4 linked regions of the Alligator mississippiensis genome follow. Each later gene encodes a partner of the first gene's protein in a complex. Links are inferred from orthologs where the notes say so. Each region holds a gene or a part of one and is shown in the gene's direction. Other genes may lie near its edges. The genes, in order: SNRPD3, USP39, CWC15 and PRPF8.

Evidence for each region.
Region 2: SNRPD3 (region 1) and USP39 share a complex: the UniProt entries of both Homo sapiens proteins name them as parts of the U4/U6-U5 tri-snRNP complex. The link is inferred for Alligator mississippiensis from reciprocal best matches to the Homo sapiens genes SNRPD3 and USP39.
Region 3: SNRPD3 (region 1) and CWC15 share a complex: the UniProt entries of both Homo sapiens proteins name them as parts of the minor spliceosome. The link is inferred for Alligator mississippiensis from reciprocal best matches to the Homo sapiens genes SNRPD3 and CWC15.
Region 4: SNRPD3 (region 1) and PRPF8 share a complex: the UniProt entries of both Homo sapiens proteins name them as parts of the U4/U6-U5 tri-snRNP complex. The link is inferred for Alligator mississippiensis from reciprocal best matches to the Homo sapiens genes SNRPD3 and PRPF8.

The regions. Positions count from the first base shown.
Region 1 is NC_081833.1:19,337,901-19,344,745, reverse strand, and holds the start of SNRPD3 (small nuclear ribonucleoprotein Sm D3), read left to right. Parts: upstream 1-3,830; 5' UTR 3,831-3,863; intron 3,864-4,163; exon of another isoform or gene 4,164-4,258; intron 4,259-4,418; 5' UTR 4,419-4,441; coding exon 4,442-4,567; intron 4,568-5,442; coding exon 5,443-5,635; intron 5,636-6,845. Other genes in the region: protein GUCD1, read right to left, coding at 1-54, 1,572-1,656, 3,258-3,588. UniProt on the Homo sapiens protein: Plays a role in pre-mRNA splicing as a core component of the spliceosomal U1, U2, U4 and U5 small nuclear ribonucleoproteins (snRNPs), the building blocks of the spliceosome.
Region 2 is NC_081830.1:10,641,720-10,648,856, reverse strand, and holds the start of USP39 (ubiquitin carboxyl-terminal hydrolase 39), read left to right. Parts: upstream 1-4,118; 5' UTR 4,119-4,120; coding exon 4,121-4,421; intron 4,422-4,505; coding exon 4,506-4,575; intron 4,576-4,909; coding exon 4,910-5,004; intron 5,005-5,638; coding exon 5,639-5,775; intron 5,776-7,137. Other genes in the region: TMEM150A (transmembrane protein 150A), read right to left, coding at 947-1,011; C7H2orf68 (UPF0561 protein C2orf68 homolog), read right to left, coding at 2,275-2,397, 2,919-3,064, 3,179-3,294, 3,462-3,586.
Region 3 is NC_081824.1:447,193,697-447,200,943, forward strand, and holds the start of CWC15 (spliceosome-associated protein CWC15 homolog), read left to right. Parts: upstream 1-4,231; 5' UTR 4,232-4,341; intron 4,342-4,908; exon of another isoform or gene 4,909-4,911; 5' UTR 4,912-4,916; coding exon 4,917-5,047; intron 5,048-7,247. UniProt on the Homo sapiens protein: Involved in pre-mRNA splicing as component of the spliceosome. Component of the PRP19-CDC5L complex that forms an integral part of the spliceosome and is required for activating pre-mRNA splicing.
Region 4 is NC_081837.1:504,370-511,531, reverse strand, and holds the start of PRPF8 (pre-mRNA-processing-splicing factor 8), read left to right. Parts: upstream 1-4,160; 5' UTR 4,161-4,200; coding exon 4,201-4,300; intron 4,301-4,386; coding exon 4,387-4,555; intron 4,556-4,694; coding exon 4,695-4,859; intron 4,860-4,950; coding exon 4,951-5,169; intron 5,170-5,834; coding exon 5,835-6,047; intron 6,048-6,339; coding exon 6,340-6,465; intron 6,466-6,545; coding exon 6,546-6,651; intron 6,652-7,162. Other genes in the region: apoptosis-inducing factor 3, read right to left, coding at 47-159, 284-365, 457-501, 926-1,035, 1,225-1,334, 1,465-1,545, 1,641-1,669. UniProt on the Homo sapiens protein: Plays a role in pre-mRNA splicing as core component of precatalytic, catalytic and postcatalytic spliceosomal complexes, both of the predominant U2-type spliceosome and the minor U12-type spliceosome.

The DNA.
Region 1 (6,845 bases):
CGAAGTTCCCGGATGGCCTTCTGAAACTCATCGTCATCCAAATGATTCATGTACCTGAGATATTGGGAGGAAGGGGAAGCAGGTATTAGCAAAACGTGTCTGTTTCAGTTCGAGCCTCTTAGCATCACAGAAAGGAAAACCTGAAACAATAGGGTTTGGTTGAGAAATGATCACAATATAATGCAGAAATGCATCACAAATTTCAAAGGAGGGAAAAGGGAAGGCAGGGAGGACTTCATTGGTTTTATTACACGTGACTTTCTCTTTGAAATTTATTACTGTCTTGATTGTACGGTGCTAAAGGTATACAGAATACTGCACAGTAAACTCTACTAAACAAATAATGTCTTATCCTGAAGAGTTTACAGTCCAAGAACACACGTACAATATAAAGCAAGCACAACAGGGGTGGGAACTAGAGCTGGGTTGCTTCAAGAAATAGTTGGAGTTCAAAATAATTTTTTTGGAGGAAGAGGAAAGAAACTTTGTAAATATTTATGTATCTCAGGCATTGAGGCTTGTATGAAGAAGGTCACAGGGCAGAGAAAGGAACCAGTTGGGTGGCATTCTAACTGAAGTGGAAAAGGGTGCAAGAGACCAGGGATTTATTCAGGGGCGGTTATAGAAAGCTTTGTAAATGAGAAACAACTGAACTTGTACAGAAAAAAGGAGAAGCTGGAGGCATTCAGGGAGGGGAGGAAACAAGGTCACATTAGCAGGGTAAGAAGATAAAATTTTAGAAGCTGAGTTGTAAATGGGGAGGAGAGGAAAAGAGGTGAAAGGGGAAGGAGAGGCAGAGGTTACAGTAGTCAAGATGGGAAATTACCAGCACACGGACTAACGTCTTGGCAGAAGGGATGGAGAGAAATGAAAATCTTCTGCTTCATAGCTACTAAGTGGACATCTAAATAGGTATTTCACTCTCCTGCACCTAAGCTCATGTTCCTCTGTGGAAGGAAAGACGAGTTCAGCAGGAAGCTAGCACGTTACAAACCGGGCAACACAGAGCATAGTCTTGAAACTCAAGCAATCTCTGGAATGTTAAATGTTTACCTGGCAGAGCAGATACCCTACTGGAGAATGGCAAGATACTAACATCTATTAATATGGGCTAGAACTCCTAGTTATTTGAAAAAGTACAGAAAGGACACTAAGTGAACTGCTGTGCCAAGTAACTGTCCCAGCAAGGAGGATGGATATAATCATGTAAAGTAAACCATGCTACTCTGCAGGGAAAACATTCTAGCAGGTTAAACATGCTGATCGGCAGAATTCTTAATCAACTATTTTGCATCTATCAGAACACATGGTTAGTTACTTAAATCTTTCAGCTTTTTCTTTTCCTCTTGCTAGAGAGCTGGTGCTGTGCCTAGTCAGGCAGCCATAATTCTTGGAAGGGTATGGGAAGAATATGCTTGGATGGAGCTGGGAGGCTAGGTCACAGCCAGCTACCTCTACCAACTTCCACCCTTAGCATTAAGTCCTGATATATGGAAGTGTCTGGCAGTATGAGTAATACTTTCCCCACCCTGTGCCCAAACCCACCCCTTCAACCCAGAACAATTACTTACTGCAAAACCATCCTGGAGCAGGCTAGCCCACAGTCCCAGTGGTACAGCTGCTGAATAACTGGCACTTTCAACTGGATGTAGTCAACTGTAGCAAAAACAATGCATTAATATTAAGAGCATAAGTAAATAAGCCCAGATGGGTATATCCTTCTATGCACTAATTCTTTTGCCAGCTCTCTGTGCTGTACTGGGGCACTTTAAAAAAAATGAGGCTGAGAAGCAACTAGCTGATGGGAAAATAAGTGTTTCTAAAGAAGTCCATTTAGCAAGAAGTAAAACTAAGGTGTGGTTTAACCTGGCACTGCCTCTTCACTGACAATTCTACACTTTCCTCACACCTATCCATTTTTCTGGTTGGTGAAATCCCTGGTCAGGGCCTCTGTCTGAGTTCCAGCAGAGCAGGGGAACCACAGATTTTCATCTTATTGTGGTATGTTCAAAACATTCTTTTTACCGATGTGACTTTGGAAACCCTCTACGTGTCAAAGAATGCACCCAAACAGCGAGAGTATTCATCAGGCAAATGCAGCAGGTCATGCCAGAGGAAATACTAATCAAGACCGTAGTGTAAACATAGGCAACAAAGCTCCACAGGAAAAGATCTCTAAGCCTTCTCTACAGATGTAGATCTTGTCGGTGACACACCCAATGTATTACTGTTTATTCAAATAATGATTTTGCATTTAAAATCAACTCTTGGAAATTACACTTCTTGGCCTTCTGCATTATGAGCTCACAACAACAGTGCCAAGTAAAACAGAAAAAAAAAATCCCTATAAGAAAGCCTCAGATTGTTGAGTTAAAATACTGTGCAGCCATAAAATAAACTGCAAGGATGTCTGCCCCTCCCCCACAGGAGAAATTATAAGCTTTCTACTGTCAAGGGTGATGATGAAACAGTTTCAACCTCACTTCCTTATCCACTGCCTCAGAAGTTTTAAAGTATCCAGAGTCAGTTTCAGCCCAAACAGGTTTGATGTCAAGGGCCTTGTGTCCTCAAGAACCTTCCCGCTTGAAGTAAGATGACTTGAGGAAGCTGTGTTAACACCACGTTAATCGAGCTTTCACAAGTCTTCTGATGCAAAGACAAGAACAAGACGCGTTCAACGTCATACAAGCTAGTCGTGATCAACATCAGCTTTTCAACATCCTCCTCCTAACTTGCTGCAACTTGCCACTGAAGGTATGTCCTGGCCGGCATGCAACAGGAACAAGCAAACATGGATTTTGGAGGCTCCTTCCAAAATTCCCGTGCATCCTGCTGTTTTGAGCCATCCCCCCGCGTCTCTGAAAACCGGCGTTCCTGCTGAGAACCGCCAGTCTCTCCTGGTAGCCTGCCTGGCTAGCACAGATCAGAGCGCTCGGACTCATTATGCTACAGGAAATATTAACCCCAGGCGTCTTCTCATATCGGAAGGTATGAATCATTTGTCACAAACTAAAACGAGTCGGTAGTCAGTTTAAAATGAACAGAAGGAGGCTCGCTCTCTGGCAGGGTGGAGCACCCTGCCCACGGCCAGGGGACAACGGGTCCTTGGAGGGAAGGGACAGCAGTCAGTTGCTACTGAGCGCGGGAGCGGGGGCTGGCGGCTGTGAACCAGGGATGCCTCGACCGCAAATCCTGGAGGCTACAAGTGGGAGAGGCACAGCGGGACATCAGACCCGGGTCGCCCTCCCCGTCAGCACCTGCTCTCTGCCCCGGCCAGACAGCAGGGACCGGGGGGCCGACCCAGAGCGCGGGCTGCGCTGGCCGCGGACCCCGGCGCAGCGGACAAGCCTCGGCCCTGCAGCAGCGCGGAGCAGCAACAAGTGAAGCCCGAGGCTTGGCCGAGTCTCCTGGATGGATGCCGGGAGCCTCTTGCCCGCGTCGCCGAGCCCGTACGGGGCCGGCCGGCAGCAAGGCCGGAGGCGGAGCAGGCTGCGGACACAAATCCTCGCCCCCACCCCCGGGGCCCGCGGCGCTGGAGGCCTCCCAGGGCCGGGCAGCGCGGGGAGCCGCCCGCAGCCGCTGCCCCATCCCGGCGGGCGGGCCGCACTGACCTGCGGGCGGCCCCGGCCCCGGCCCCGGCCTCGGCTCGGCGGGCGGCGGCCCGGCCTCCCGGGGGCTCTTCATGGCGCCGCCTCAGTGGCCGGGGGCCGAGCCGGGCTGCGGGGGTCCCCTCATGCCGGCGCCGCCGCCTTTTGCGCGCCCCGGCGCTGCTGTCGGGCGGGGCGGGGCGGGGCCGGGGGCGGCCCAGGCGGGAGGGGGAGGAGCGGGAAGGGGACCGTGCGCGCCCAGCTGCACCGGGACAGGTCGGGGGGCCACGGGCGGTCGCCGAAGGGGCTTCTCCCCGCGCCCCACAGGGAGAGGGGGCATGAGGGGGCTCCTGTGCAAGTGCCCGGGGCCGGGTGGGGCACGCTGCTGCCGAGGGCGCATGGCGTGCGTGGGCGGAGGCACCCTGTCGCCACTCGGCGGGGGGAGGCGGGAGCAGGACGCGGGCGGAACCTTCCCCCTGGCCGCCGCGTCCCGCCGGCCCCTTAGCGCGGGGACACCCGAGTGGCGCGTCCCCGTTCGACCATAGAGCCGGGGCGCCGCGGCTTAGAGCTGGACGCCGGACTTCCGGTTCCGGCGCGCGGGGCAGGGCGGGAAGTGCGAGAGGCCATTAGAGCGCTGCTGCGGGCCGCACGTTGTGAGCTTCGTGCTAACGGTGGGTGGCGGCCGGGGGAGTTGGCCGCGGTTGGCGTCTCTTAGGGGCGGCGTATTTGTTTCCCCAGAGCGCGTCGAGGCGCCTTCTGCCGTGACGGGACCCCGGGCAGAGCCCGCGGGAGGCGCTGACCGCCCCCGCCTTGTCTTGTTCTCTCCCGCAGGGTAGAGCCGCGCCGCCGCTGGGATGTCGATCGGGGTGCCCATCAAGGTGCTGCACGAGGCCGAGGGCCACATCGTGACGTGCGAGACTAACACGGGGGAGGTGTATCGGGGCAAGCTCATCGAGGCCGAGGACAACATGAACTGCCAGGTAGGCCGGGTGAGGCCCCTACTCTACCTCAGGTGCTTGTCTGAGTGACGGGCTTAGGGTTGGTAAAACACTGCAGTGCTGAAGCGGAAAGCAGGGAGCTGCACATCTCAGCTTGCTTCTGAGGCCGCTTCTGTTTCTACCATAAACAGACACTTATCCTTTTACCAGGTCTGAGTATGTGGTGCTGGTGACAAGAGCTTCTCATATCATCAGCCAGCTTGAGTTCTTCCTTCCTTCCCCAGAAGAAATTTTTTTCCCCTAAGTTTATTTTATAATTGCCTTTTTTTGAAAAGTGTGTCAAATCGGGCTGGGGCTTCACTGTGGCTGATTTGAGGCCAAATGTTCACATTGAGCAAAGTATTTCCTTGGCTGATGGAAGTAATGAAGCATGAAAACATCTTTTTCTATAAAGAAGCCTGTGTGGAGGTGGTTAACCACGTTAGCCTGAAGTCTCTGATTTGGTTAGTCGAAGGAACAGGATGTGTTGCAGTTACTCTAGTTAAAGTGTTAACACTTAAGCCACCATGTGGACAGTCTCCCTCCTCTGGGATACTGTGAATAGATGAGTGTGCGGATGACTTAAAATGCCCAGTCTGACACATGCAGGAGGAAAGAAGAGTATTTAAATGTTCTACAAGGCAGTCTGTTGCTTTCAAGCTGGATTTACAGCTGTGCAACACTTGGCTGTTCATTAAGTACTAGGCTATGTAGCTTGGTCTCTTCTCTCTTTCCCCATCATGTTATTTACATGCTCAACTAATTTAAATCTGCTGTGTACTAGACCCAAACAGCTCTTCCTATTTCTAGACTCCACACCCGAATTCTGGAGGTAAAACTCATTGTGTCAGAAGTATTGAGTAGCTTTTGTCTTCCAGATGTCCAATATCACAGTGACATACAGAGATGGGCGAGTGGCACAGCTGGAGCAGGTGTACATTAGGGGTAGCAAGATCCGGTTCCTCATTTTGCCAGACATGTTGAAAAATGCTCCTATGTTAAAGAGCATGAAGAATAAAAACCAGGGTTCGGGGGCTGGACGAGGCAAAGCAGCTATTCTCAAAGCCCAAGGTAAGTACTTCTAGTTGGTTCTTAGCTTTTCTGATAACGTACTGACATGGTAAAATGGATGCATCGAGAATACTTCAGCACAAGTGGCTTGGTATAATTTATTATTAAAATATAAAAGTTGGGAGTTTAGTTGCCAACCTGCGGTGCAAATTAAATGATTGAGTAGTTTGGACTTCAGTTTGTCAGTATAAATTTTGTAGTGCTTCATTTAAAAAACAAAAACAACACATCCCCAGAAACAACCTAGGAAGTACGCTGATGAAGATTTTTTTTTTTTTTTGAGGCAAGTACCAATAGCTGACTCTTTTCAGGAGGCATCTGCTGGTATTGATCGGACTTCTGATACCAGCCCAGCAGCTTGGAGAGCTGTGTGCAGCTGCTGAGTCTGTTGTGGTGGAAGGGGCCAGGAGGAGCAGATCAATGACCCCGCAGTGAGGGAAGGAGTAGGTCTGGGGCTGGGGTAAGTGCTGCCCAACTGGGGAGGGTGTGGGATGGAGCTGTGGCTTGTCCGGGAGCCACTGGGCTGGCACTCGCCTGGCAGCTCACACCACTGCTCCTGCTGCTCGTCTAGGGGGTGGGGGTGGCATTCCCCCCCCCCCGATCTGGGTGTGATGGGCTGGGAAGAGCCCCTCCCAGATCTGGGGGCACATGCCCCCCTTCCCCCATGCCCTCCCGGATGAGTGGTGGGAGCCACTGGGCAAATGCTGGACCGGTGACTCCTTGACAAGCAGCGTGCAATGGTGGGAGCTGCCCCATGCACCCAAGACAAGCTGCAGCTCCATCCTGTGCCCGCCTTGTCCCAGCTGGGCACCTCTTGCCCCAGCCTCACTTCTCCCTCATGGCAGGGACCTTTTGATCTGCCCTCCCCCCTCCCCTTCCCATCCCTTCTACCACACCAGACTTACTAGCTGCACACAGCTCTCCAAGCTGCCAGTCTGTGCTCCTTGCTGACTGTGCACTGCACTGTAGCTATGCGCGCACACAGGCATTTATCAGCCAAATTATTGGCCACATCAAGCCAATTTCCGGTTTACGTTCAATTTTCTTTATGCCAGTGCTTATCCGATATCGGACCAATGTATCAGTGCACTTCTACAAAAAACTTTTAAAATACCAATATTGGTTCTGAAACCGCTTTGGAAAGAGTCAGTTCTGGTGTCCAGTATAATCCTCAATATCTTTGTACTTCCTAAATGTGTGCACACATTAT
Region 2 (7,137 bases), on another chromosome or scaffold:
TTCACTCCTTGCCACGACACTTGGGTTCTGTGTCCTTTTGTGTTTGTCTATCTCCCCCTCCCTGGAGGCTTGGGTTCTGCATGCATTTAAGTGTCCATCTGTCCCGCTCCTGGATGCCTGGGTTTTGTATGGGTTTTCATCTGTCTACCTGCCCCTTGCCAGGACACCTGGGTTGTATATGTCCTTTCCTGTTTGTCTGTCTGTCTCCCCCTCCTGGATGCCTGGGTTCTGTATGTGGTTTTGTGTCCATCTGTCCTGCTCCTGGATGGCTGGGTTCCATGGGTGTCTTCATGTCTGTCTGTCTTATCTGTCCCTTGCCAGGACACCTGGGTTGTCTGAGTCCTTTTATATTCATCTGTCTCCAACTCCTGGGCACCTCAGTTGTGTGTACGTTTCTGCCCATCGGTCCACCTGTCCCTGGCCAGGCATCAGGGTCCTGTTGTCCTTTCCTATCTATCCCCTCCCCCCCCCCGGACACCTGGGTCGTTTTCCTGTCTCTTCTGTCCTCTTCTAGGACACCTGGGTCTGTGTTCTTTTGTGTCAGTCTCTCCCTCACTCCCAGATGCCTGGGCTCTATGTGCATCTCCTGGCTGGCTGTCTTTCCCTCCCCCCCTCCCTCCCTCCCCCAAGACACCTCCCCGGGAGGGGGAGGGGTTGTCCAACCACCCCTGCTTCACTGCACCCCCTCCAATCCCTCCCATCCAACCCCGACCCAGACATGCCTGGTTGGGGGTGGGGCCTGGAGCTCTGCCTCCCATCCCAGAGCCTGTGCCCAGAGAGGGGAGCTGGGGGGTGGGGATCAACCTCTAAGTGCCCCCTTCCATTAGAGCCCGAGCCCAGGCCCAGGCCCCCTCTGCTGGCCGGAGGTGGCACTGCGGGGTGAGGCGAGGACATGGGGTGGGGACGTTACAACCAGATCTGGTAAGGGCCCCTGGGAGTCACTCACACAATCCAGATGCCGGTGATGGAGAAGGCAGAGAGGCTGATGGGAAGGATGATCCAGGCGGTCATGGGAGGGCCGGCAGGGGGGAGCTGGGGGGTTGGGGGGGGCACTGGCTATTGCCCCGCGTCTCTGCCCCGAAGCATCTGGAGGCTGCGGGGGGGTGGGGGGTAAACAGATTGCTGGACAGATGTTGGAAGGGCCTGGACCCCCAAAGAACCAGGCGTCTGGGCTCCTGCCCCTCTACCCCCCAGCCAGGCAGCATACCCAGGTGTCCAGGCTCCCGATACCCAGCTATGCTCTAACTACTCGGTCTCTCACCTCCACCCCTGGGGAAGGGACCCAGGTGCCCGGACTCCCATCAGACTGCTCCCAAGGGCCCGGACGCCTGAGTTCTCGCGGGGGAGAGGGGAGGAGAATGGGGGCTGCACAGTTGGCTTCCCCCCCCCCCAACTCGGAGGGACTAGGTTGGTGCCCACCCTGCTGCAACCACGTGGCTAACGAAGGAGCCCCGGGAACAAGCCCGGCTGGGGGGAACTGGAGACGCAGTTAGTGGGCAGGCCCCCCAGAGTGCCACCCCCACGAGGGAAAACTGAGGCACGGGGCGGATGATGTCATAGCAGCCCCTCCTCCCCCCAGGGTCACAGCTGGGCCCCAGCCAGGCAGGGGACCCAGGCGTCCGGGCTCCTGGCCCCTCATTGCTCTGACCACTAGGCTGTTCGCCCCCACCCCCGGCGGGAACCAGGCGTCGGGGATCCTGTCACGGGACCCCCACCCCTTACCCGGCCGCGCCGAGTCCACACGGGCCTTTAAAGGGCCAGGCCGGCCCCGCCCCGCCCCCTCCCGCGCGGGGCATGCCGGGAACTAGAGTCCTGCCGCCCTCTCCATGGGACTACAACTCCCGGCGTGCCCAGCGCCGCTGTCCCATAACGTCACTTAACGGGGCGGTGCTTGCATAATGAGCCAGCCAAGAAGGGGCGGGCGCGGCTGCCCCCATCCCCCAGCCCGGACACCTGGGTTCTTTGCTGGGGGGAGGGGCATGTGTGTGCCCGTCCGTTTCCCCGACCCCTTGTCTGCCCACACACTCCTGTTCCTCTCATGACATCATTGTGACCTCATTGTAATGTCACACCCACCATCTCCCCTTTCCACCTGCCCCCAACCTCCTACGGCCTGGCCCCTCCCAGATACCTGGGTCCCCCTGCCAGCACCCCTCTGGTCCCACCCGCTCTGCCTCAGTTTCCTAGGAGAAAACAGCTCTGGACTCCTGTGTTCCCACCAGTGTTTATTGTCTGGGCTGCGGGACAGGCTCAGGCCCAGCGCCCGCTGCCCACTCAAGGCCTGGCCTGGCGCTTGTGCAGCTCCTCCCGCACCCGCTGGCACAAAGCCTGGCGCAGGACAGGTTCCAGCGGGCTGTGGGCGCACACCTGCTGCGCCACCTCCTCAGGGCTGTCATCCTGCGGGGAGACAGGGTGAGAGGTTGCGGCCCCCATGAGCCGGGGCCTGCGGGGCAGAGGGTAGCTCATGCTGAAGCCCCTGGGGGTGGCTGTAGGCAGTGCATAGGCAGGTATGGGGGGGGCACATGCCACCCCCTTGCTGCCGACATGGCTGCGACCAGTCCCCACTCGCAACCTCCCCCCTGCTACCGACACTGTCGCTGCTGACGGTCCCCGCTCGCTGCCGACAAATGGTGTTCCCCCAGTCTCGGGAGGCACCAGTTGTTCATGGTGTTGCCGCCTTCCCATCCCTGCCAGACCCCAGGGACTACAGCCAAGTGCCAACCTCCTGGTGGGCCTGGGGGTTGTGCAGCCAGGTGCCAACCCACCTGTCCAGGGGGTGCACCCTATTGCCCCCTGCCCTCCCACCCACAGGAGCTTGAGACCCCTGCTGGACCCCAGGGCACTGCAGACAGGACCTAAGGCCGCTAGTGCTGTCCTGGGGTGCTGCAGCCCGCCTACCCGGGCACCCTGCCCCTCACCTGGTGGACGATGACGGCTGTGACATCACCGCTGTCGGCTTCGAACTCGAGGCAGAACAGCTCGGGGCCCCGAGGGTCAGGCTCGGGGCTGGAGCTGCTCTCGCTGGAGCCCTCGTAGTCCAGGCTGTAGCTGGGGTCCGGCTGGCCTGGGCAGAGAGGGGCCTGTGAGGGCAGAGGGGCAGCCTCCTGCCCCTAAGCCTTGACCTGCAGCCCCTGCCCCTGCTGCTGCCCCTGCCCCCCAGCCCAGGCGCCGGGCTCACTTCGCCGCCGGGGGTGATACACCTGCTGGTCGGGCTTGCGGGGCCGCGGGGGGGTTGGCGTGTGCCTCTTCTTCACCTTCTCCTTGGCTTGCTTCATCTCCCGGTCGTAGTCATCCCTGCGGGCAGCAGGGCATGAGGCCGGGTGTCTCCCAGCGGTCCCCAGCATGGGGGGCAGAAGCCTCGGGCGGGGCAGGGGTTCTCAACCCGGGGGCGCTGGGGCTGGGGGCACGGGGGACGGATAGGTGGGGGGCAGGTGGGGAGTGCGGGGCACGGCGGGCGGCACCTGGCGATCTGGTTGCGGCGGATACTGCGCACGAAGCCGTGGCTCATGTCCAGCCGCCCGCCCGGCCGCCCCCCACCGCCCCGCTCCAGCTCCAGCTCCGGCTCCGGCTCCGGGGCCGCCTCCATCGGGCCGCCGCCCGGCCCCGCCCCCCGTTACCCCCCCAGGTGGGTTTGGGGACTCGGTCCCCCTCGGGCTGTGCAGGCGGCTAGGGCCGCGCCCCGAGGGGGCGGGGCGGGGCGGGGCGGGGGGCCTGGTGTAGCAGAGACGTCCCGGCCCGAGGGCGGCGAGCAGCTTCTAGGAAAAACGGGAAAAAAGGGGGCGCTGTGTCTTTAAGGAGGGAACTCCGGGGAGAGCAGCGGTCGGCCACCTGGCAGCCCGTAGGGAGCATGCGCAATCTTAGAAAGGCTGCTGGGGGGAGTTAGGGTCAGCTCTGACTGAACATCATTAGGATGTGAGTGCGCATGTACGAGAGACACCAGAGGGGAAATGCGAATCGGATGGAAACAGGGATCCGTAGTAAAGCAGACGCCCACAGGCTCTGCGTGTCGGCGCATGCGCAAAAAGGCGGAAGTAAGCGCTTGGTTCTACCCAGCTCCACCCTCGTCATCGCTGCGGCGCATGCGCAGAGAGGCAACGCGGGCTGTGTTGGGGGTGCGGCCATGTCGAGCCGTGTGAAACGGGAGCGGGAGCGGGAGCTGCGCGCGTCCCCAAGGGGCTCGGCGCGGGGCAAGCGCGAGGCTGACGGGGACTCGCGGGGGGGCGCGGCGCGGGAGCGCGACCGGGGCCGCGCCCGGCGGGAGCCCGAGCCCGACCGCGCGCGCCTGAAGCGCGAGGCCGAATCGGAGCGGGACCGCGCACGGCGGGAGCGCGCCGGGGAGCGGGAGCGCGCCGAGGGGCCGCCCCGCATCAAGCGCGAGCGCGAGGCAGAGGCCGACTCCGACCCGGAGCCCGAAGTCACCGGTGGGCGCGGGGGGCCGGGTCGGGGGAGGGGAGGGGAGGTAGGACGCCTGGGTTCCGCCGCTGACGCGTGTCCGTGTCCTGCAGTGCGCTACGGACGCTTTGACCCCGAGGACCGGCGCAGCCGCCACTGCCCCTACCTAGACACCATCAACAGGTGCGGGGCAGGACCTCACGTGCACAGGGTGCTTGGGCGTGTGCACATGTGTGCATGTGTGGCCACACTGGCATGCACATGTGTGTAGGCTCGCATGTACCACACATGTCTGCCTCGGCATAGAGGCGTGCCCACATGTGCTCCATGACCGCCATGCCCCTATGTGCACGCACCCGCCCAGGCTCTGGAGCAGGGGCAACATCTGCCTCCTGCCGGCCCAGGGCTGGGAGCCGGGGTGCGGCAAGGGGGAGGTCCCAGAGGCGGCCTCAGACAGGTCTGCGCTGGGGCCACCTTCAGGCCCTGCCCACTCAGCCTCTTCCCCATTCACTCCCAGGAGTGTCCTGGACTTCGACTTTGAGAAGCTCTGCTCCATCTCCCTGTCGCACATCAACGTCTATGCCTGCCTTGTCTGCGGCAAGTACTTCCAGGGTGAGTGCTCAAATGCGACTGTGCAGCACCATGCAGGGGGACCGGGTGGCAGGGGCCTGCAGCGGGTTCCTCTGGTCTTGACTCTTCCCCCAGGCCTCACGGTTCAGGAGCCAGCAAAGCTGGGAAGCATAACGCTACTGTTGCTGTACAGTGTGCCCAGGGCGCTCCAGCAAAGCGCTACTTCATTCACACAGCCTAGCTTTGCATGTACAAACATGTGTGCATATATGATCATGTGTGATTGTGAATGCAAATACATGTACGTGTGGATGTGCATGTATACATGCATATATACATGCAAGTGTGCATGTGCACATGCCTATACATAAATCCACGTGCATACATGTGCACGTACACATGCATAAATCCTTGTTTGTGTGGGAATGTATATGTACATGTTTGCATGTATGTGTCTATATATGTATATATACATGTGTATGTAATTGTGTGTGCATGTGTGTGCACTTGTATACGTGCATATATGTACAAAAATCCATGTGCATACCTGTGTATGCATGTCTATGTATGTGTGTACATGTGTATGTGTGTCCGTTTATACACATCTGTGTGTGGAGGTGTATATATGCAAACGTGTAGATGTGTGTGCCTTGACTACTGCCCCTTTCACGTGCAGGCCGCGGCCTGAAGTCCCACGCCTACATCCACAGTGTGCAGTTCAGCCACCATGTCTTCCTGAACCTGCACACGCTCAAGTTCTACTGCCTGCCTGACAACTACGAGATCATTGACTCCTCCCTGGAGGATATCACGGTATGTTTAGGGGAGGGACTGAGACACGGGAGGGACTGGGAGGAGCAGGGGGCACAGCACGAAGAAACCTTAGAGACAACTGTGAGTTCCGGTCAGTCACCAAGGCCCCGCCAGGTTTTTGGTCACAAGGCACAGCCCTAACACACACATGATCTGACAGCCAAGGCGTGCACATATGTTTGTCCATGTCATAGCACACCCCTATTCAGACTCCTCTAGGCTGAGCCAGTTCCCATCCTTTCCCTGGTTCCTTTTCTACAGCCATCCATGCACATGGTGTGTCACCTTCCACTGGTCTCTCGAATATCTGGAGGGATCATGGGCCTCTGGGCTTTACTGGATGGGTTCCCATCCCAGCCTGAGCCTTCTGGGACTGAACTATTCCACCCCTTGTCCAGCCATCCCATGACAGGAGCCCATGCCTGGCTCAAGTGCCTAATGTTGCTTTTATCAGGACTTCAGGTATTGGTCAGGGGCACTGATCAAGCCAGTGCTTTAGCAAAGGCTTTGCACAAGCAGCGTATGTAGCAATCAGTGGTCCAGCCAGGCCTAGGGGCTGGAACAGGCTCTTTTTGCCCATAGCAAATCTCTGCCTATACCTAGGGTTGGATCCCAACTGAGAGCCTGCAGTGTGAAGCAGCTGCACACAAGGTGGATGTGGTTTTGGGAGGCATCAATAGGTGGGTTGGGGCAAGATGCAGGAGGTGATCATGCCTCTACTCTAGATTGCATGCCATTATGGCTTCCACTTTTTAAACACAATGTGGAAATCTGAGAAAGGGTCCAGAGCTAGTGACAAATATGGAGGGCTTGGAAAGCAAGTCCTGCAAGGAGAGGATGAAGGAGCTGGGCTTGGGGGGAAAAGGCACCTAAGAGGCATGATACAGGTGGCGGGGGGAGTGGTTAAGCCTTCTCTAGAGGCACTGGTTGTTGGCTGCAGCCCAGCATGGGGATGGCGACTGGGCTGTACCAGTGCTCCTGCTGGGACTCGAACCATAGCGTCCTGGCTAGAGGATCTTGCCTTTTCATTCATGCTCAGACCACAGTTGCATTTGGGGTCTAGAAGTAATTTCTCCCCCAGTCAGATTGGTATGGAGTGGGGGGGAAGGGTTCCCTTCCTCTGTAGTGGAGGCACAGACTTCCTCGGGGATTTCTGGAGCATCTATTAACAACTCTTTACAGCAGCAGGATGCTGGCCACCACAGCTCCCCTGCTTTCTCTGGAAGGCTCAGAGGTGATGTCTGGTGTTGTGCCAGCATTGTCTTATGGAGAGTTTAGATGATGGATGGGTCTGGGATGGTTTGGACAGTGCTGATCTTGCCTCAGGCAGGGGGTTAGACTAGATGTGACCTCTGCAGGTCC
Region 3 (7,247 bases), on another chromosome or scaffold:
CCCATTGTGTTAAGTGCTTTATAAACATGGAACAAAAAGATGGTTCCTATCCCCCAAAAGCATGAATTTTCTTATTATTTTTATGTTGTTTATATATATATATATATATATATATATATATATATATACACACACACACACACACATACATACATATATATACATATATATGTATATACACATACATATATATACACATATATTATACTTTTTTTTCCCCTCCTTTTTGTCACCTGCGCTAAAGTGCCTTTCCTCTATCCAGCATTTTTTACTCTGCAGAGCTAAGAAAATGGACCTTTGCTTTGCAGAATTTGCCCTTCCCTGTGTTAGGTTTATCCTGCCCGGACCTGGAGCTGGAGCTGGGAATAAACATTCTCTCAAGGTGTGCGTGTGTGTAGGCAGGTCCCTCCTGATGTACAATACAATATGTTGGTCAGTTATGGAGCACATATTCTGTAATCACTGGTGTGAAGGCTGTGAAAATGTCAGTGAGCCCTGTCTGCTAACTCACCCCTAGCTCAGTTGCTCCATTTCTTTCACTATCCCCCCAAGAGTTACTCTCTCAACCACACTAAAGATTCCACAGTAATTTTGAGCCTGCAAACACATCTGTAGGTTTACACCTACAGGAGAAATGTAGACGCTGCTGGGATGAAGAGCAGCAGCCAATTATCATCCAGCACCCTCATGTTTTGTGATGTCACTTGGGCTGAAAGACAGCAAAGTAAAACCCAGAGTAAGAGAGAAACTCTAAAAACCATCAAACAAAAAGCTTAAAAAAACCCAACCTGAGACTGAATGAATGCACCTAGTGCCATGCCCTGGGACCCATTAGAGCTGCACTCGGGAAAAGTGTTGAAGGAACCACATTTGGGAGGGCAGGTGTTCAGCTAGGAATGTCCTGCCACCACCTCCAGAATTCAGCCCTGGGTAGGGTTACCATACTTCCAGTTCCAAAAAAGAGGACACCAGCCAGGGAGGATACCTCACTCCCAACCCACAGCCCCATGACCCTGCCAGTGCCCCTCACCCCCAACCTGCAGCCCCCCGTCCCTGCTGCTGCCCCTCACTCCTGACCCACAGACCCCTGGCCCTGCCGGTGCCCCTCACTCCTGACCTGCAGCCCCCCTAACTCCCTCCAGCAGGGCTGGAGGGGGTCTCCAGCTGCCCCCATTCGAACTGGGTCAAAACGCAGCAGCTACAGTGGCTCTGGCTCGTGCGGGCAGCAGTGGAGCGAGTCTGCTCCTAGCACAGGCTGAAGGTAGGATGAGATGATACCTGTAACACCCCCTGCCCCAGGCTGGGGCTTCTGCACTGCGCCAGGTGGGCTATCTATGCATCCTGGCCCCCGGGCAGTGTTTCCCAGGTGCCCTGCTCCTGCAAGCATGGGTACCTGCCCTGGTGCCACTAGCCCATCCGTGCAGCTCCCTGCTGCCCCCAAAGGACCCCCCACCCCTTCCCCTGTTGAAGGGTCAGGTGTCTCCCTCCTGCCCCTGTGCCCTGCCGCACCCTTTGCACCCCCCCACAGTCATGAAGCCTTGGCTCTCCAACCCCTGTCCTCACAGCCTTGCCTACATCAGCTGCTGAGGCTGCTCCCACCCCCTGCCTGGCTGCGTGCCAGCCACAGATGCACCTGGTGACCCTGCCTCCAGTCACCAGTGGAGCGGAGCGGAGAGGAGCAAAATCCCAGATATTCAATTACATTTAGAAAAACTGCCTGGACAGAGATCGGAGGACCCAAAAAGAGGACATGTATGGGAAAACCCAGACATATGGTAACCCTAGTCCTGGGGAACAACAGAGCTAAATTCCACAGCTGCATTGCACAGATACAGTGCGTAAGAAGCAGTCTCTGACATAATCAGATGCCAAGTCATCCAGTGATGCAATACTCACTGGGTAGAGGGAGATAAGGGGCTGTGTTAGACACAGGAAAGAGGCAGCTTATCCACTAACTGGTGCATCTCTCCCTGGCTGTCGGGCCAAGGGGAAGGGCAGCTCCTGATTCTCTACCCTTAGCTTTTGGGGCCCCCTGCTGGATAGTCTCATCAGCTGCAGCCTCGGCAGGAGGCTGTGCTTGGAAAGTTGCTGCCCTGAGATTGTAAGCACACAGATCAGTGGTTCTCATCCTTCTTGGACCCGGGGTGCCCACCTCTGGTCTGCAGGCCAAATGCAGCCTGCAGAGCCAATGCACCTGGCCTGTGGAGCTCCCCACGGATCAGAAAATTTGGTGGTGGGGGAGCGGTGGCCATCCTCTCCCCCTGCCATATTCCCAAACACCAAGCCCATGTGCCCAGTCACAGCCACGCCAGGTCACCTTGCCCCTGAGGGGGAACAAGGCCATGCTCCTTTCCCCTTCAGCCCTGTGAAGTCCCTTCCCCGCTGCCTGGCTGGGACCAGGCCAGGCTGTTGCCCAACCTCCTCCACGTGGCCAGAGGTGGCTACTGCATTGACCCTGGACTCTGGATCAGAAGCCTTATCTGGCCCGTAGTCGGACCAGGTGCTGCCGATTGGGCCCACCGGGGAAAAAGGTTGAGCACTGCTGAAGGCACCCCTCATTAGGCTCAAGACAACCAGAAAGTGGCAGCTCTTGGCATTCACTTCTTTCTTTGGGATTGGAAAAGAGGGAGCAGACACATTCTTGCAGGAAAGGGGCATCAGGAGTTATCGAGCTCGGGAGAGAGGGGCACGGCCTCAGAATCAGCACTTCCTAAACCTTAAATGCTGGAGGCTGTAAGTGAGAGAGGAACAGGGGAGAAAACCCTGGTCAGGCCCAGGTCCCGCTCCCTTCCACTGTCTGCTGTCTGCCCCCGTGTGACACAGGGCACTGGGCCAGCCGGCCCTGGGGCCTGACCCAGTCCCTGATGTTTATCATCATGACGACAAAGCAACAGAGCGATTCTGCTGCTGCAGAGACCGGGATTCTGCTGCCTGAGCGTGCTGCTGATGCCCAGGATTCCCATGGGAATCATGTCTAAGCACCTGCAGCCCCTAAATGTGCTAACAGCGGGCTCAGCTCGCGGCACCCTTCAAAGGATCTCTGGGCACCACCTGGGCACCATGGCTCCTGGATGAGACTTGCTGGCACGGAGCAAGCAGCCAGGCTCATGGGGTGGGGGTGTTGCCAACCTGGGAGCACTGGGATGGGCCCACAGATGTGCTCACAGATGCCTCCTCAATCAAGAATATAACGAGTGAAGAGACCGGACAAACAGAAGGACGATTTGGGTGGAGGCAGAGGGAGAGCACTGAGGGGTCTTTTATGAAACTCTGACATTCTCAAGGGAATGGTGGTGGGTGCACGGGCAAACTTTGTAATGGGACAAAAATAATGTAACTGTTGAAAGTAGGGTGCCAACTCTGTTTGAATCTATCCCGGGAGGTTTAATCACATGATGTAATGACATTAATGACGGATCTACTGACTGTACTCAGGAAGGTAAATGCACATGACTATTACATTTTAAAAACACACTGGACTACTGTATAAATCGGATGCGACATTTCATAATTGATTTTAATGAATGCCCTATCATGCATCTCCTGGGTGACTCTTGGCAGTCTCCTGGAGCTTGTATCTCATTCCTGGGGACTCCAGGGCAATCCTGGGGGGGTCGGCAACCCTAGTTAAAAGTGTGTTTTTGGTCTCTCAAGTGAACCACAGCAGTCGCATGACAGCTTGTCAGAGGCAGTTGTCTATGTTTAGTTATATAAAGTGTTTTTTATATATATATATATATATATATATATATATATATATATATATATACACACACACACACACACACACACACACACACATATATATAGTTATATATATATTTGTATAGTTTAAATAGTTTTATATATATGTAGTTATATACAGCTTATTTATATATATAGTTATATATATACAGAGATATATAGATATATATATATGTTTAGCTGTTTATATTTATTAGAAATAAACATTTGGGCAAAAACTCAAAAGCCCCTACTGCCACTGAGCGCCCACTGCGCAGGCGTCCCGGGGGCGGGGCCAAGCACTCACAGGCGGGCTCTGCGGCCAATCAGCGTCCGGGGGGGTGCAGCGGGAAGCCGCCGTCTCCACAACAACCTCAGGGCGGCAACTTCCGCCTCCGTAATCATGGCGGACACGCGGCCCGGCCTCGGACGTGACGCATTGATCTGCTCATAGGCGGGAAGCGGCTGAGCCTGGCCCCACCCCGCCCCGCCCCGCCCCGCCCCTATGGTCTGCGCGCGGCGCCTTGTGGGACGGCGGCGGAGTTATGGTGGTGGCCTAGGCGCCAGGCAGCGCAGCCGGGAGTGGCGCGGCGCCCGGGGAGGCGCGGGGCTAATACGGTGCGTTGTGGGCGGGGGGAGCGAGGCCTGCTCGGGCAGGGGAGGGGTTGCTGGGTCCTCGCAGCGCCTCCCGCCGGCAGAAGGGGGGGGGAGGAGCCGAGAGCAGGCCCCCGCCGCGCCGGGCCCCGGCGGAGCTGGAAGCACCGGGGGCGGCGCGGTGTTGGGGCAAAGGGGCATCCGCAGCCTCCCGCCCGGCCTCCGGGTCACGTCCTGCAACGCTGGAGGCTGCGAGCGGAGAGGAGCCATTGAAACAACCCCCCCGGTGACACCAGCTGCTGGGCAGCCTGGACCGAGGGCCTGGTCCAGCAAATGGCAAATTTGTGTGTTCTTATGTGACTCCTCGGTGGTGTCACACTTCAGCCTGACCCGCTTGAAAATCTCCCTCCCTTTCAGTATAACGAAATGGTTGCCGGCCGGGTTGTGACAGGCCGTGTTGCAGCCCAGGTGTGTGAACGCCTCGCGTTAGGAAGCGTTCTCGACGCGGTGATTCCTAGATAGCGCACCCGCGGGTACGTGTCTCTCACCACAGTTAGTAGTAACGGCCATATTTTGCATTGGATTCCCAAGTAGCTGAGATGACAACAGCTGCCAGGCCAACGTTTGAACCTGCGAGGGGTGGGCGAGGAAAAGGCGAAGGAGACTTAAGCCAGCTCTCCAAGCAGTACTCCAGCAGAGATCTTCCTTCTCACACTAAAATCAAATACAGGTAAGCGCTGGTTTGTTTCTCCTGAAATATTTTGCGCAGCGATTCTTCGTTAAACCTAGTTTGAGACGCGAGTAATTATTGAAAAACAAGTACTATAATTATTAGCCCTCTGCGTGGAAAGGGGATTACTGCTGAACTAGAAAAAGAACTGCAAGCTTTAGCCTAAGGGGCAGATACAGAAGATAAAATGGATTTGAAATTATTAGAGTGTTTTATTATTGAATGTACTGTTAACTTGCGGTTTCTGGGTACCATGATGGAAGCAGGTATTCAGAAGTGGTCTGGGTACACAGAGGGTGAACTGGATAAGAAAGATATCCTGCCCCCAGAGGTTGTTTTGGGAAAGGATATAGGGACATGTTAGACAGGAAGACGTAACTGTATGCATATCATAACTGGTAACATTTACAGAACAAATAAGGTGATGAGACATGCTAAAAATGGTTTTTGAGGTTGGATGGGGTCTTAAAAAAAAAAAAAAAGGACAGATAGTTTTGAATGAACATATTGATTAAAAAATAACCTGTGGAGAGACTGGCAGGTGGAGGAGGATAATAGACTCGCATTGGGCAAGGTAGATCACTTGGCAGTTTTGCCCGTTCACTTCCAGTATCTTCAGTGATGTTTTCCTTTACTTTTATTACCAACCACATTCTGAAAGTGTTTGTTCTTTAGGTCAGAGGTGTCAAATATATGGCCTGTGGGCCAGATCTGTCCCATGCAGCCCTATCATTCAGTCTGCGGTGCTGCCTGTAGGTCTTGGATCATCCCCATGTGCTGCATGTGGGATGCGGGGCTGGTCGGGATCAGGGAAGTAGACTAGTTCCCCACACAACATGGGGCTGGCATGCTTACTGCATGCAGTATGTGGGGCTGGTCCAGGAAGCATGCCAATTCTAGCATGCAGGGGGCAGTCTGTATACCTGATTTCAGCCTGTAGACTGGCCCTGTGCCTCTCATTTGATCTGCTGGGCTGGATGAGTTTGATGCTCCTTCTTTAAGTTTATGATGGCTTTTTAGTAGAAGGAATGTTGTTGTGATTTTTCATTTACAGAGGGCAGTGTAGGCAAAAATGCATACGAGTATATAATATATAACTTATTGTTCTTTTGGATGGTTTTTTTTTGGTATCTTCTGCTATTCTTCCTGAACACTGATCTAATAGGTTGGCTTTGTTAAATATATAGCCAGAACTTCATCACACAAATTTAAAAGTGGTCACTTTAGTCCGTCACCTCTTTTTGAATGACACGGTAACATTTTGGATTCTTGTGATGGTAACATCAATTGTGGGCACTCCAGTTCCTTGTTCTTATTTATACAGTAGGAAAATTGAACAATATGTTAATACTTATGGTATATTTTATAACTGCTGAAGTCTAGGATTCCTTTAGGTATTGTAAGCACTTATTTCTAGAAGTGAGTTCATAGAGGGGTGGAGTTCATTCCTGTTCATTTCACTTGTTTTACATTCTTTTAATATTGGCACCTAAAATTGAACAGTCCTTGGAAACCTTATATTAATGTGGGTTAATATAAATCAACTTTGCTGACAGAGACTTCTTAAGTATGCATGAATGGAAATATTGTATATAAAAATTTATTGATGTGCTTTTTCCTACTTAGACAATTAGGGTTGGAAGGGACCTTAGGGGAGGTCAAGACTGTTCTCAGTGGTGGCAGATAACAGAACAAGGAACAACGGGCTCATGTTGCAGAAAGAAAAGTTTAGGTTGGATATTAAGAAAAACTGTCTCACTAAGAGGGTAGTAAAGCACTGGAACGGGCTACCCAGAGAAGTTGTGGAATCTGCATCCTTAGAGGTTTTCAAGACACCGGTAGACAAATCCTTGGTTGGGATGATCTAGTTGGGGACAGTCCTGTTTTGATCAGGGAGGTGGACTAGACCTCCTAAGGTCCCTTCCAGCCCTAATTTTCTAAGTAGGAAAAAGCACATCAATAAGTGTTTATATACAATATTTCCACTCATGCATATTTAAGAAGTCTCTGGTACCATCACAAAAATTAGGGTTGGAAGGGTCCTTAGGAGGTCATCTAGTCCAACTCCCTGTTCAAAGCAGGACTGTCCCCAACTAGATCATCCCAACCAAGGCTATGTCTACCGGTGTCTTGAAAACCTCTAAGGATGTAGATTTTACAACTTCTCTGGGTAGCCTGTTCCAGTGCTTTACTACCCTCC
Region 4 (7,162 bases), on another chromosome or scaffold:
CACAGGCCTGCGTGCCTGGAGGGCGCGGAGCCAGGCCCGCACGCACCTTGCTCAGCCGGGTCCTGTCGTAAGGCACGTGCCTTTCCTTGGTCACCAGGATGACCCTGCCCGTGAAGCCCTCCTGCCGCAGCGTTTCCGCACACACCAGCGAGGCTGGGCCTGAGGGAGGAACGGTCTGAGCCCTGCCATGCCGACCTGGCACCACGCAGGCAGGAGGAGGGTCCAGCATGGCTGGGGAGGGCTCAGGCCGGGGTCCCACTCGGGCGCACCCTGCCCTGCCCACCTCCGCCCAGCAGCAGCACCGTGGTCTGGTTGATCCCGCAGCGCTTGCTCATGTCCTTCAGCCTCCGGCTGCTCTCCAGGTCCTAAAGGAAAGCGGGTCAGGGAAGGCAAGCGGTGGCCCTCGCCCTACGCTTGGTTGCGGCTGCAGGGGGTGGGGGACGACGAGGCAGGTACCTTTCTCCTGGCAGTAATGAACACCTTCCCATCTTCCACTTTCACCTGCGGGGACCGGAGGAGAGTGGGAGGTCAGCGCTGCACTGGCGCTGCCAGAGGCCCTGTGGGCCGAGGCGCGGTGCCGGGACGGGCCAGGCAGGCTCTGCTAGGAGGACCTGGAGCCCCAGTGGTACCGACGGACTGGGAGCAGGGCACAGCCTCCGATTCCCCTGGGGCCGTGGGCTTGCTTTGCACGGGAGGTAGCTTTGTGCATCATCCCCTGGCGTGGGCTTCAGCATGGGCACCTGGGTCTGGTCCAGGGACCCCCAGGAAGCGGAGAAGCCCCACGGTTACAGGAGCCAATGCAGATAGCTGCAAAGAGCCTGGGCAGGGCCCGTCCGGACACCTGCCCAAGCAGCCGGGGCTGGGCTCGGCTGGGACAGGGTCGATGCCCGGGCACGGCGACGGGGTGCAGCCAAGCCACAGTCACCTGGAAGCAGGGCAGGCAGTCCAGAGTCGGGTACTCCTCGATGTCCCCGGTCTTGATGTCAAAGCAGGCGCCGTGCCAGGGGCAGCGCAGCCGGTTGCCCTTCAGCACTCCTGCGAGGCAGACCCGGGCAGAGGGTGAGCAGTGGGAGCAGAGCTGGCTCCAGGACTCCCGTGTGCCTGCTGCGCTGGGCAGGGGCACAACCCCGCGGGGGTACGGGGGCAGGCGCGGGCGTCCTCCCCGATCCCATCGGGGGCTGCGGGGCTGTGGGGCGGCGTGTGGGGCGGTGGGGCTGCCCTCACCTTTGCAGAGGGGCGCTCCGTAGTGCGGGCAGCGGCTGCCCAGGGCCCAGAACTGCGTCCCGCTCCGCACCAGCAGCACCGGGAAGCCGGCGACCTCCACCTCCCGCAGCCTGCGGGCACAGGGCGGCGCGCTGAGCAGCGCCCCGGGCACGGGCACGGGCACGGCCAGGGCTGCCCAGCCCGGCCCGGCCCGGCCCGGGGCACCCACCGTCCTGCCGGGCAGCGCGGGGGGGCACTCACTCTCCGTCGCACACGTCGCACTCGCGGCACACCTCCTGCGTGACCGTGCCCGGGTCTGTGTCGCCGGCGGCTGCCTGGGGGCTGCGCCCGGGGAGGAGCGGGGTGAGCGCGGGGCGCGCCCGGCCCGGCCCGGCCACACCCGGCTCGGCCCCCCGCCCGCATCTGCGGATACTCGCCTGCTCCCGGGCTGCGGCGCCCTGTCCATCGCGGCCGGCCGAGCGCACCCGGCGGTGGCGGGGCGAGGCGGGGCGGGCCGCGCTACTTGTAGCCGCCGCCGCCCACGGCGCGTCGCCTTGCACAAGGTGCGGGGCTGCACCGCGCCCGCCGCCCGCCCCCCCGGGCCGTCACGTGCGGAGCTCCCGGCGGGGCGGGCGGGGCGGGGCGGGCTCCCGGCATACCCGGCTGCTGTCGCCCGGGCTGAGCCGGAGCAGCGGCCCCGCACGCAGCTCGGCCGGGTGGGGCGGAGCGGAGCGGAGCCTGGCCCAGGTGCGGGGGCTGCGGGGCTCGCCGGCCCGGGCACACGGAGCCCCCTCGGGCGGGTGCGGGTGCGGGAGCCGGCTCGTGCCGCTGTGCCGCGCTGGGCGCCCCCCGGCTCCCCGCGTTGGCCGCAGGAGTGGGCCGGGAAGGGGCTGGAGCCCGCCCGCAGGAGGCCCGCCAGGCTCGGCCGGGCAGGGGCCGCCTCTCCTGCGGGTCCCGGGGGGACGAGACTGCTGACTCTGCTTGCAGAAGCTGCTTAGCTGCAGAGAAAGAAGCAGCGCTTCTGGTTCTCCGACTTCAAAGCCCAGAGCCAGGAGCTTTGTTTTGTTTTGAATTTAATTTGTATCCAAGGCCAAACCGGCCAAACCCAATTCCAAATCCGAGCGCAGAACTGGAAGCGGCGCTGCACCGCCGCACACCCTCCTCCTGCACCTGGGGCTTCAGACGTTTCCAAAACCTTTGGCGGGCGTCCTACTTGCAGGCCCAAGCCCAGAGGTTTGGGGCTTGGATGCCCCCAAGTTTTGCTTGCCCTCAGCCATAAGACCCCAGGAGCAAGCAAGGGACGAGACCTCCCGTTCCCGTAAACTGGGCTTAAAGCTGCTGCACCTCAGTGGGTGCTGAACCACGCCAGAAGAGCAGTTCTCCCTCCTGTGGTGCGGTTCAGGACAACGGCCGTCTTGGACACAGCTACGCGCTATCTCCCCTGCCAGGTTAAGCAGCCGCCAGCTTGTCCTGAGCCTTCAAGAGGCCGAGACGTGCAACAAGGTGCCAATGGGAGGCGTAAATCAGAGACGTAGCAGCTGCGGGGACCAGGACCTTAACCGAGACAAATGCATCGTCTGTACGGCAACCCTGGCTGAGCGTCTGTCCAGCTCCTGGCTGGGGACAGCAAGTGCTTTGGGCACTACTGGAGGGATGTGGGAGCCAGGGTCGTCCAGAGGACGTGAGAGAAGCCAGGATGTTTTGGGGTGCTCTCTCTTGCTGGACAAAAGATCCAACGGAAGACATCGCCAGTGTCTTTCAGCATCGCCGCCGGGGAAGGAGGGCTGCACCTGTGTCGGGGACGGTGTGAGCGAGCCCCGGGCGCGGGACGACCCGACAGCAGTAGCTCCTGAGCGAGCAGCAGGCAGGGGTGAGAGCGTACGACCTGGGCTGCACCTCCTCCTGCTCCCGCCGCCGGACGCGCGCCCCTGCGCTCTCGCGCTCCTCCGGCCTTTGCCAAGGCGTTTGAGTCGCTTCCTCCTCCAGGGTCGCGGGCTCTCGAATGCTTCCCGGTGCCTGCGAGCTGGTCTAATAAAAGGTGTCGTCCCTGAACCAAGAGCTCTGGAGTTGTGCATTCCCCCATGCTGGAGCAGCTGCAGAGACGCGGCCGCCAGGAGCGAGCCGGTCTCCGAGGAGCGCTCGGGGTCGGGCTCTGGCTTTGCCCCGCGGCGGGGGCCGAGCTCAGACGCCCGCACCGGTTCACAAAGCCAAGAGCTTGTTTTGAGCAGAGCTGGGATAAAAAACCTGGGGATTTGCCCGATGCAGGCAGCTCCTGAGGGCCTGCAGAGAGGGCTGGGAGCCGCGCTGGAGCGGGGAGGTGACTCATGGGAGTGTGGAAATAATCTGGCTTGAGCTGACTCGTGACACGCGGATTACGACGGGTGTGAGATGCCCGGCAGGCAAGCCGCTCGCTGGGCTTCACCCACACAGACGTGAGCGGGGCGTGCGCGGGACGGCTGCTCGGAGCTGCGCACGGCGCCACGGCCCTGCCTGCGTTTCGGGGACGGCGCCGCCCCTGGAGGCTGGCCAGGCGCTGCGGAGAGCAGGGCCCAGGGGACGGCATGGCAGTGGTGCTGAGCCCGGTGGCTGCAAGGGGAGCGTGGGGCGCACGGGGGCATCCTGGGCACGGCCCCCGTCCCTTCCCCTCGCCGCCCGCGGGAGTCACCCGCTCCCAGGCTCCTCGCGCCCGGCCGCACGTGGCCGCACGTGGCAGGCGACACCCGCGCCGCTGGGGGGCGCTCACGCCCACCAATCAGGGCGAGCCCTGCTGGGGTCAGGCCTGTCCCGGAAGTATATCCTAGCGCGCGACCCCCCCTCCTCACGCCCTCCTCTTCCGGCCAGGGCGCCCGCCTCCTCCCCGCGCGAGTGCTCTGATAGGCTGCCCTTCCTCTCCGTCTCGCAACCCGAGAGCTCATTGGTGCAGGCGCTGCCCCGCCCCCTGGCTGCATCCGGGTGCCTGGCGCGGGCCGCCATTGCGGAGCGGAGCGGAGCGGGGCCATGGCGGCCGTGTTCCCGTACCGCGCGGGCTGCGCGCCCGTGCCCAGCCCGCTGGCGCCGCTGCCCGACTACATGTCTGAGGAGAAGCTGCAGGAGAAGGGTGCGTGGCGGGGCGGGGCCGGGGGGGAGGGGCGTGGGGGGCAGTGGGGGAGGGGCGGGCCTGACTCGGGTCTCGCGTGTCCGCAGCCCGCAAGTGGCAGCAGCTGCAGGCGAAGCGCTACGCGGAGAAGAGGAAGTTCGGGTTCGTGGACGCGCAGAAGGAGGACATGCCGCCCGAGCACGTGCGCAAGATCATCCGCGACCACGGCGACATGACCAACAGGAAGTTCCGGCACGACAAGCGGGTCTACCTGGGGTGCGTGTTGCGCTATGTTGCGCTGCGCCGTGCGGGGCGGGCCGGGCCGGCGCGGTGCCGCGTGCGGGAGGCGCGCCCGTGCGGCGGGAGGCACCGTGCGGGTGGCCGGGCGGGTTGTGACGGAGCGGTCGTGCCGCAGGGCCCTGAAGTACATGCCGCACGCCGTGCTGAAGCTGCTGGAGAACATGCCGATGCCGTGGGAGCAGATCCGAGACGTGCCGGTGCTGTACCACATCACGGGCGCCATCTCCTTCGTCAACGAGATCCCGTGGGTCATCGAGCCCGTGTACATCGCGCAGTGGGGGTGAGCCGCCGCGGCCCTCGGGCCTGGGGGGTCTGGGGCGCGGCTCGAGCCGGCGGGGCGGGCCGTGTCTGATGGTGTCGGGTTGTGCCAGGTCCATGTGGATCATGATGAGACGCGAGAAGAGGGACCGGCGTCACTTCAAAAGGATGCGGTTCCCCCCCTTCGACGACGAGGAGCCGCCTCTCGACTACGCCGACAACATCCTGGACGTGGAGCCGCTGGAAGCCATTCAGCTGGAGCTGGACCCGGAGGAAGACGCCCCCGTGCTGGACTGGTTCTACGACCACCAGCCCCTGAAGGACAACAGGAAGTGAGTACCCTTTCTCGGCGGCGCGTTTCACTGCAAAGCGTCGTGCGGCGCCGCCGAAACGTGGCCATCGGGAGGAGAGCAGCAGACGCCGTGCGCAGCGTGGGGCGCGGGGTGGGGGGACCGGAGCGTGGAAGCTGTCCTGGGCCCTTCCGCGTCTGCGGAGAGCTCGCGGGACCCGGACACTTGAGGTTGCTCCTGGCCAGACGTCTGCAACGAGATGAAACTCGGCGTATCTTCCAGGGAAGCACGAAGGACTGAATCTGGAGTCAGAGCAGCGTTTCGGGAGAACTTCGTGCGTGGTATTTAGACAGTGTTGTCTGCTGTGAACGGGCCGGCTGCGTTATGCTTTGGCCAGCCAAACCTCCTGGGGAAAATTGCATTGGCACGTTGTGCTGTCTGGCAGGTTGCTTGCTACAGTCCCAAGCGTTAACATCTAAATCTTGGGTATAGGGGTAGAGAGGGGAGTTTGCACGGTAGCAGGTGGAGGTGCGCGTTGTCTGGAGCGGACTGGAATAAATACGCAGTCTTCCCTCCTTTTGCGGAGGGAACGGCGAGATGATTCGCTTTCCCGTTTGCAGTAAGTGGGATGGGGCAGAGAAGGCGCTTGAAGGGTCGGTCGCCTTCTGGCCTGGCGGTGACTGGTCGGCGCGGTGCTTTCCTTGCAGGTACGTGAATGGTTCCACATACCAGCGCTGGCAGTTCACACTCCCCATGATGTCCACCTTATACCGCCTGGCCAATCAGCTGCTGACAGATCTTGTGGATGACAACTACTTCTATCTGTTTGACCTGAAGGCCTTCTTCACTTCCAAGGCCCTGAACATGGCTATTCCCGGGGGTCCCAAGTTTGAGCCTCTTGTTCGAGACATTAACTTGCAGTAAGTGCTGAGCTGGGGACAGGAGGGAAGATGGGCGCTGCCTGGTCTGGGAGTGGGATCCTCAGTGTGCTGCGCGATTTGTCCCAGGCCAAATGCTGTTGGGCGGCTCCTGGCAGCGAGGTAGTCGTGCATGTGGGTAGGCGCTTGTTTCTTTAGAGGCTGCGTCGGTATTGGAGTGGGGGAGGGGGTAGAATGCGAGGGCGCTGCAAATGCTGACCCTGCCGTTTTGGTCCCTGACCTTTGCTTGCACTGCACTCCGCATTCTCACCGGATGGCCTCTCTCTTCTCAAAGGGATGAAGACTGGAACGAATTCAATGACATCAACAAAATCATCATCAGGCAGCCCATCAGGACAGAGTACAAAATTGCTTTCCCTTACCTATATAACAACCTGCCACATCACGTGCATCTGACCTGGTAAGTACAGCCCTGTCTGCTGCCTGGGGTGTGGAGAGTTTGTCCAGGCAAGACGCGCTAACACTTTGCACGTGTTGCAGGTATCATACGCCAAATGTGGTCTTTATCAAAACAGAAGATCCGGACTTGCCAGCTTTCTACTTTGATCCATTGATCAATCCAATCTCTCACAGGCACTCTGTCAAGGTGAGTTACTGCCCGTGAGCCAGGGGGGCACTGGGCTGGGAGAAAGGAGCCCTGGCTTGGAGCCTTGTGTAGACCTCGTGTTGAGGGAAGGGCTTTGGCGTAGCGTAATGACTTTGCCTCACGTGGTAGCCAATGCAAACTGCCAGGGAAAATGATAGGCCTGTTTGTAAAAGCGTTGCTGTTCGGTGCTGTCTGTGAAGGGGCGTGATCCTTCCTGGCCCCAACCAGCGAACAAGGGCGTGATTCCAAGCAGTGGGCTGATCATCTCTCCGGCACCGCAAATGAGTCTGGTTCACGTACAAATCTCTGATCTCTTCTGAGCTCCGCTAACTTGCTTCTGCCTTCACAGTGTGCACCTGTGACTTCCACAGTGTAGTTCTAGCATAAGCTTTGTCTCTGTACCCACTCCTGGCACCCTGTCAATCACCGAATGTGCGAGTAGGACCCCATACGTATACTACTTTGCTGACATATAAAATAGGGGAGTCTACTTTTTTTTTTGCTCTGGTCA